Linked DNA regions of Nothobranchius furzeri. The protein of the gene in region 1 interacts with the protein of each later gene in a biochemical or structural test. Links are inferred from orthologs where the notes say so. Each region holds a gene or a part of one and is shown in the gene's direction. Other genes may lie near its edges. The genes, in order: atxn3 and calpain-2 catalytic subunit.

The links.
Region 2: of the proteins of atxn3 (region 1) and calpain-2 catalytic subunit, one has a biochemical effect on the other in vitro, tested with the Homo sapiens proteins (2 studies listed by BioGRID). The link is inferred for Nothobranchius furzeri from reciprocal best matches to the Homo sapiens genes ATXN3 and CAPN2.

What each region holds. Positions count from the first base shown.
Region 1 is NC_091758.1:31,655,989-31,660,332, reverse strand, and holds atxn3 (ataxin-3), read left to right. Parts: upstream 1-1,573; 5' UTR 1,574-1,663; coding exon 1,664-1,687; intron 1,688-2,066; coding exon 2,067-2,231; intron 2,232-2,320; coding exon 2,321-2,365; intron 2,366-2,446; coding exon 2,447-2,532; intron 2,533-2,613; coding exon 2,614-2,680; intron 2,681-2,761; coding exon 2,762-2,849; intron 2,850-2,925; coding exon 2,926-3,055; intron 3,056-3,127; coding exon 3,128-3,291; intron 3,292-3,394; coding exon 3,395-3,551; intron 3,552-3,627; coding exon 3,628-3,689; intron 3,690-3,764; coding exon 3,765-3,817; 3' UTR 3,818-3,831; downstream 3,832-4,344. Other genes in the region: E3 ubiquitin-protein ligase UBR1, read right to left, coding at 1,487-1,531. UniProt on the Homo sapiens protein: Deubiquitinating enzyme involved in protein homeostasis maintenance, transcription, cytoskeleton regulation, myogenesis and degradation of misfolded chaperone substrates.
Region 2 is NC_091746.1:29,422,083-29,426,484, forward strand, and holds the start of calpain-2 catalytic subunit, read left to right. Parts: upstream 1-1,387; 5' UTR 1,388-1,926; coding exon 1,927-2,163; intron 2,164-3,178; coding exon 3,179-3,248; intron 3,249-4,402. Other genes in the region: aars2 (alanine--tRNA ligase, mitochondrial), read left to right, coding at 284-448. UniProt on the Homo sapiens protein: Calcium-regulated non-lysosomal thiol-protease which catalyzes limited proteolysis of substrates involved in cytoskeletal remodeling and signal transduction. Proteolytically cleaves MYOC at 'Arg-226'.

The sequences.
Region 1 (4,344 bases):
AGTTGGTTGCGAAAATGTGAACCTTAACAGACCGCTTACATCAGAGATTTTTAATGCCGTTCGATATAATCCGATACATTGTTTTTGGGCCGATATCGATATCGGAACGGGACATCCCTACACCTTAGTAAACCTTTGCTTCAAAACTGCCTTTTGTCACTGGAAACCTAATACAAAGATGTTGGTCTATATTTAGATAATAGGATTATCAAGCAGTTCATGCAGATCTGTCACCTGAAAACATGTGATGTGAGTCTCCTCTTCTAAAATGTGATTAATTCGATTCAGATGTAGTGACTGTAGCGGCTTGAATAAAACATCATTTTGAGATGATTAGAGCTTTGTAGTATTATCCTGCTGGATGTAGCCGTCAGAGCATGGGTCCAGTGTGGAAACACAAGTATGGACACTATCGCCAACAATAATCAGGTACGGGCCCAGACCATTACATCACCACCAGCAGCCTGAACCGTTAAGATGGATCCATGTTTTCAAGTTGTTAACATCAAAGTCTAACCTAACATTTATGAATGTTGCAGCTGAAGTTGAGATGCAACCTTTTGCTAATATCATGATGAAAACTGCAACACTCAGACCAGCCTGCCTGGCACCAGCACAAAACCACATTCATTACCACTGAAATCCCCTTTCTTCCCCAGATAATCAGACAAAACTTCATCATGTCCACATGTCTAAATGCTACCACCTGATTGGCTGTTTGTGTTAATAAGCATCTGAACTGGTTTACCTGCTAAACAAACTGGTGAGTGTATGGTACATCCACGCCAGGAGTCTGTTTAGGTTCACTTACATAAATATGCATCATCAGAACAAATATGTTTTTGTGTACCAACTGAACACCTTGAAAATAATACAATGGATTGGATGAAGCAAGTAAAATTATACAAAAATTATATTTCGGTTTTGAAAATAAAACTGAAATAATTTATTTTATACGAAACTAAAACAAAAACCACATTAGACGGATTTCTCAATAATAAAACACAAAGGCTGTAACTACATTAGGACGTTTAAAAATGCGTGATTATGTTGGTGTTTGGGAGGCGAAAATATCTGAACAGGTAAACCTAAATATGAATAACAACACAGTAACAGTAGACTAGTTTACTTTCACTGTAAATAAACGGAAAAGGCATTCAGGACCTCAGGCTAAGCATTTTAAATGTCATGTGTAAGCACAGAGGGGAAAGACAAACACTTACATCATTTCTCATGGAAAAAGACTAAATTTATCCCGAAAAGAAGTAAAAATAAAGTCGGTTTATCCGTAATAAACAGCGTGATGCCTCTCTAATGCTAGTTAGCCTTGGCGGCTACGACTATTATTAGCCTGGCAAGAACAACCTTCTACCATAATGCAGTAAAACCTTATTACACATGATTTTTTTTTTATTTTAAACTCCGTCGTTTTGCCACAAACTCTCAGAAAGCGCTGTCAACGGAATTAGCTGAGAGAACATCATACCTGACTCAGCTCCAGCCTGTTCATGGAATTCTCACTGTCCGCCATATTCCATTTGCCGTAAGTAGAGGCGTCCAGCACTGTGCCGCGCGCACGCCCGCCCGCTAGGGGGCGTCTCCTCTCGATAGGGCGAGTGAGGGGCGGGGGTTAGAGAGTTGAACGTTTGACAGAAAGCTGAATATGGACTCCATATTTCATGAGAAAGTAGGTTTAAACATTTTATAACACGAATTTACCTGATTATATTTACTGATTTTTGATTAAGCGGTGTCGGTGCTCGATCTGCTGAATAGTTTTACCAGTTAAGTAGCCGCTATCGAGGCGTTTGTGATGGAGTTGTTGTACAAACTGCTAATACGCTAATTCACTTGCTAGTCAGAGAATGTGAAAAGTTAGATTTTTAACATGATAACTATTCCTGGCGTCATGTAGGGGTTTTGTTTTCTTGTTAGTTAATCGCTCTCTGCTTGGCTGGGTCCTCGTTGGGCTAGCTGCTACATGTGTTTGTTTTGGTTGAGCATCTTTATTCCAGAAGTCCAGCTGATGCTGGATGCTTGTTACATTCCTGATCCTTTGTTTGCAGCAAGAGGGCTCCCTCTGTGCCCAGCACTGCCTCAACAACCTTCTGCAGGGCGAGTATTTCACTCCTGTGGACCTGTCCTCTATCGCTCATCAGCTTGATGAAGAGGAGAGGATGAGGATGGCAGAGGGGGGAATGGCTAGTGAGGAGTACAGGACCTTTTTACAGGTGTTATGAGACAGAGGGTACATATTGGTACAAAATGTTATCAAAAATGTAATTTTATTCATGTTTTTCTTTCGAAAATGTGTTTAAAGCAACCCTCTGGGAACATGGATGATAGTGGGTTCTTTTCAATACAAGTGAGTTTACAATTATCTTTTTATTGCTTCTAAAATCCATGTCCTCTTCTGTAATATCACTCTTGTTTCAATATTTTCAAGGTGATTAGCAATGCTCTTCGAGTCTGGGGCTTGGAGCTACTCCTCTTTAATAGTCGAGAGTACCAGAGCCTAATGATAAACCCAGTGTAAGGTTTTAATGTGGAAACATTATGATAGAAGATCCTGATCTCTCATTTCTTTAAGCTGATGCTTACTTTGTGTTTCAGAAATGAGAAAGCCTTCATTTGCAATTATAAGGAGCACTGGTTTACTATACGCAAACTTGGACAACAGGTGTGTGGCACTCACTCACTTACCTAGTCATACTTGTCTTATAGCAGCTTGATTCACTAAAATTCTCTGTTTCCTTTGCAGTGGTTTAACCTGAATTCACTGTTGACAGGACCAGAGTTGATATCAGACACATATTTAGCACTTTTCCTTGCACAGCTACAACAAGAAGGTAGCATCAGAAACTGTACATTTAGAGGTTGAACTGGAGAAAAGATGATTAAATTAGTTCTTTTTTTTTTTTGCAGGGTATTCCATATTTGTGATCCGAGGGAATCTCCCTGAGTGTGAGGCAGAGCAGATTCTTGGGATCATGAGGGTCCATCAGCAGCAGCGGCCAAGGCTCATCGGAGAGGAGGAAGCGCAGACGAGTGCGGGGTGTGTGTCATTTTGTTCACAAGGGTTCTGGTTTGTTTAACTCGTCTGATTCGTGCGTTTTGCTGTAAGCAGAAGGTCGGCTGCTCTGAGCCAGACAGAGGTGGTTTTTGGTGTTGAGGATGAGTCTGTGGGTGAAGATGAAGAACTGAAGAGAGCTCTGGCGCTCAGTAGACAGGACATGGATGTGGAAGATGAAGATGCTGATCTACGCAGAGCCATACAGCTCAGCATGCAAGGTCAATTGTGTGCCATGTGAAGGTTTTAAAACTGTTTGAAACTTGTATTAAACTTCTAAACATTAGTTTGTAAAATTAACTATTTGCATTTGTCTTTCTGCAGGAGCAGTGATGAGCAACAGGATGTCAGACAGTGAAGGGGAGGGTGTAAAATCTGGAGGGCAGGCAGCAGAGAGCACTACAGGAGAACAAAAAGAAGGCCAAAACGAGACGCTTACAGCCGAAGAGCTGAGGAAGAGGAGACGAGCCTACTTCGATCGGTAAGATCTACAACGACTGTTTAAATCCCTAAACGAGCTCTGCCCACTTAGAAAACAGATGTTTCTGTGTTTATAGGCAGCAACAAGCTCAGCCAAGCATTCCTCAACAAGCAGACAAACATTCAGCGGCTGATCCAGGTGATTAAATCTAACTTAGTTCAGAAGTCATGTGACTTGATGACTCGTTTAACCTGTGGCTCTTATTTCCACCAGGATCAGTAAACACTGGCTCTGAGGAGGACCAACAACAAGCTCCCATCCAATAAAGTGGTGAAAGTTTTGTCCGTGTTGTTTACCTGCAGCCTGGATTCAACTCCCCTCTCAGGGGTGGCTTTGCTCCTTCTTCTAACCTTTTGCAAATGCAAACATAAGGGCAGTCAGAAGGCTGACACGTGGTTACTCCCCCGCCCCCTTCCCGCCTCGTTAGTCACTGACTGAGGAAGAGAAGAACGACAAAGAAAAGGCAGCACTTTCTCATCTGAATCTTTTAGAAAGCACGGCCACTGGACCGGAGAAGACTCACGATGCAGTTTAATCCAAGTTTGCAATTTGCCTTTTTACCATGGCGCCTTCTATTTCTATCGTACAGTTTTATATCCTGGTTTTGTGTTTCTTTTCTTAAACACGTGGAAGTTATGTCCTTACTTGCTGAGAGGTAAAACGAAAAGGCGTTCAACAGAAGCAATATGAGACCAACGTTTAGATTAAAGCTTTACGGAAAACAACAAAGCCTCCTGATTTTGTAGCGGTTTTTCGTGCAACACACAAGTAATTAAAACACAGTTTCAGTCAG
Region 2 (4,402 bases), on another chromosome or scaffold:
ACGTTCTTAATTCTCATGAATCATGTAAACATGGTAACTGGTGGGACACTACCACCAGCAGCTCCAGTCTGTCTCTTTCACTCACTCGTTCACACACACACACACACACACACACACACACACACACACACACATACAAACTTCCGGATGTCCAGCTTGACTCCTCTCTGTCCTATAAGGAACACTTGGAAGGAATTAGATTAAGAATCAAACGTAATCTGTTAACTTCTTGGTAAATGGATAAAAATGAAATGTTCTGATTGGTTCTTCCTTCTCCTGGCAGGACTCGACGGCCCTCGCTGCCTCTGATTGGGCGATGGAAGTGTGTGGCCATTTTGGGGGGCGGGCTGGTGGCTCTGCTGTAGTTGCCAAGGGAACAGGAATCAGCAATGACATTACTGAGGCCCTGAGGTGGGCTGAACACATTGCCCGTCAGAAAATACGATGATGTAATTGTGATGTCAGTGTGGCCCCGCCCACTGCAGACTTGATTTCTTTGTTTTAGAAGAAATAAAGTGACACATTTGTTCCTTGTTGATTCATTAGTTATTGTTTACAGCAGTTTGTATGTAAATAAACGACCTGCGTGCACACACAGTTCAAAGGTCATGTGGAGAAAACCCCTCTAGACTAACGGGTCTCATCAGCTTCATCCACTACCATCCTCATCCCAGCAGAACCTGACCTATGGTCTCAGAGTCGTCTGTGTCCTAGTTCTGGTAGAACACCAGTCTGGTTCTCTGGAACCGGACCTGGTTCTGGTTGAACTCACCTGGTCGTTGTCCACCAGGTCTAGCTCCCCACTGCCGTCTTCCGGTAGACTAGTTTCAGGAGAAACTAAGCCAGACTTTGGATCAGAACCTTCTGAAATCTTCACTTCTACTGATCGCAAGCACCGCCAAAGTAACAGAGCTGGTATAGGAGTGGACTTTCACAATAAAAGCTGTGTTATTGTTTGTTTTTTCACAATAAGAGCCTTGTGAGAAGGTAGAGGTGTGGTGAGGGACCTCCAGCAAAATGACCATGTGACACACTGGTCTTGCACGTTGCTGCCAATCCCTGAGTGATGGCTGCAGGTGGGAAAAACTCTGACCTCAGTCCTGCTGAGACCACCTGATGATCCTGCAGGTTGTTCAGATCACCTGACTGACCCGAGCTCAGAACTGCTGGTCCATATGGTCCATATACTGATGTTACCTGCATCAGAGCAGAACTCAGGTCTACTTCTGCCTTTCACATTTAATCTGAATGATTAATTCAGGCACTGCATCACTCATTTAGCTCCGCCCCCTCTGCTGTGGCCTGATTGTCCTGCATGTGAATGTCAGAGAAAAGACTTAAAAGTGATTTAGATGGGAGGAGGACGGGTTCTGATCCAGAGGGGCAATTAGAGAACAGGAAGTTGCAGGTTTGAATCCCGGTTGTGGGCATGTGTTCCTCCCACAGACCAAAACGTGCATGTTAGGTTACATGGAGACTCTAAGGTGTGTGTCCCTGTGATGGACAGGAGAGCTGTCCAGGAAGCCCCTACCCTGGTGGAGACAGCAGCGAGGATGAAGTGATTTTAAACATAAATTATTTATTTTAACTATCAGAGATAGCGGTTTTAATCTGAGGAAGCAGGTGAGTGTGTGCGCGCACGCGTGGAAGAGAGAGAGAAGTGGACTGATTGGACGAACCGCGGTGCGCACAGCCTTGCGCGCTACCCGGGTCTGGACCTCGGTGCGCTCGCACGCACGCGCTGCGCTCACAGCTGCAGCCTTTGACGCACAGCTGGTTTCCATGGAGAGGTACCAGTTCGGAGGCCCCTCCTCCCTCCTCTTCCTCCTCCTCTCCAGGGCGGAGGTCTGACTGCAGCTCGGTACTTCGACACAAAACTTTTCCCAAACTTCAGACTTTCTCTCCGATCGGAACCTCTGCGAGATCATGTCCGGCGTGGCGTCAACTCTGGCCAAGAAGCGGGCCATGGCTGCCGGGTTCGGTACCAACGCCAACGCGGTTCGGTACCTGAACCAGAACTTCGAGGCCCTGCGAGCCCAGTGCCTGGACAACGGGCAGCTCTTCTCCGACCCGATGTTCCCCGCCGCACCCGAATCTCTGGGCTTCAAAGAACTGGGCAGCAGCTCCTACAAGACCCGCGGAGTGACCTGGAAGAGACCCACGGTAAGAACCGAGCCGGAACCGGGAGAGGGGTGGGTGTGGCTGCTGCTGGTGTGCAGCCCCTCTCTGCTGAAGGCCCAGGGTCGCTCTCTTGCATCTCTAACGCTAACTTGAAGGTTCTGATCCAGGTGGGGTCAGCCCCCCCACCTCCCCCTCAGAAAACCTGGTGGCCTACCTCATACCTGTCAGGCTTTTTCTCCCCTTTGCTTCTAGAGCTCACACAGGGTCCACACCCTACCAGGAAGAGCTGGCCCATCAACAAATGACCCCGAAACCCAGTTCTGGTCCCACCGGACCATTCTAACGGGGTTTGAAGGACTTGGAGATGAGTCCATTCATGTTTCTGAACTGAACCAGCCGCTGTGGTTCAGCCATCCTGACAGAACAAAAATCAAAGAGCACGGGTCAAAGGTCGAGAGTTGACAAAGAGCACGGGTCAAAGGTCGAGAGTTGACTCATGCTGCATCTCCACTAGTCCGCCTGGCTTAACTGAACCAGTTTGAGTGGTTTCTTAATTACAGGTGAGAAACGGCTCTACCGGGTCGGAGGCGCCTGCATCTGATCCGGTGGAAAACACAACAACGGCGGACATGATGGTGATGTTGAGCGTTCCGCTCAGTGTCTGGTTTCTTTTATCAGACTGATCCCAGAAAGCGCTGCGGGAAGCAAGCGGAAAACTCTGAAGCGACTAGTGACCCCTCCCTGCCGGTCAGTCGGTGACCAGCAGTCTCCGACTTCCCTTTTATGTGTCGACTTGGAGCGCCGCTCCGGGGAGGCTGTGGCTACGTGGTAGCTTAACATCACCGGCAGTGTGAGAATGTGAGAATGCCTGAATAAAACGGCCAGGAACCTGGTGGGAACGGCTTCAAGCCACTGAGATGAGTTGACTCTGTTCTGGTGGAAAAGACCCACAACACCACACGGGCCTGACGTTTTTGAGTTTCAGCTTCTACGGGTGTAACCTGATGGGAATCAGCAGTTGTCATGGTAACCAGTCTTCCTTTCTCTCCTTCTTTAGGAATTGGTCTCCAAACCGGAGTTTATTGTGGGTGGAGCCACACGGACAGACATCTGTCAGGGGGCTCTGGGTGAGTGTTTTCTCCTGGTTGTCTCTGAATGCAGCACAGAGTCAGGTCACAGGTGAGGTCAGAGGTCACAGAGTTAAATCAGTCATCTAGTTTTGATCCGAACTGAGATCTAGCTTCAGTCAGTCCCAGTATAACTGCACCAGGGCCTGGAACTGGTTCAGACAGCCCAGAGGGACCTGAGTCCATTTGGGTCGACGAACAGCAGACGGTACACCAGGTCCAGCATTAGAAAGGAGACGTGAGGGACGATCAGCAGTGCTGTTTGTGATCCAGCATGGTTTAGAATCCATACATCATCAGAACCAGTTTAGAAAAACCCAAACAGACCGGTTGGATAACTTCATAAACCAGTTCCAGGCTCATAAACCTGGTTTGTTCATCATACACCCACCCAGGTAGAGTCTAAAGACCTGATCTAGGATCAGATGTCCCTGCTGCTGTCCTGTCTGTCTCTCTCTAAAACACACACGTGTGTGTGTGTGTGTGTGTGTGTGTGTGTGTGTGTGTGTGTGTGTGTGTGCGCGTGTGCGTGCGTGCGTGTTTCGCTGTTGGGCCAGGCCCTCCCTGACTCACGCTGTTCGTGTGTGGGTGTTTCATGACTCAGTTCATAGTTTTTTTTTTCACAGTTTTAAGACGAAGCAGCTGAACTAGGATCAGCTGTAATTAGAGGGCGCTGCCATGCTGCACTCTGATTGGCTGTCAGGAAGGAACAGCAGGAAGGGGCCTGCAGCTATTGTTAGGGGATGAGAGAGAGACTCCTGAAGACCCTGCTCTTCAGAGAGCATCTTCTAAACTAGCACCCTCCCTGCACCCGTCCCCCCTCTACCGTCCACTCCTTGTTCCTTCCTCTCCATTACTGATGTCAAGTTGTTGTTGTTATTGTTAGCCTCAAGGGCAACATGCCGATTATCACTTGTAAGTCGCTTTGGAAAAAGCGTCTGCTAGAGAGAGAGAGAGAGAGAGGAAACACCCTCTCTCTCTCTCTCTCTCTCTCTCTCACACACACACACACACACACACACACGCCCTTGCAAGTGCTGTGACTCATCGTCATGCCGACAGAACCCACATCAGACATCTGACTCCCTCTCTGTGGAACTTTGTGCTAAAGTTTGTTTTCAGTTGTTGGAGGATTTTTGGCTGCAGAGTGAGAC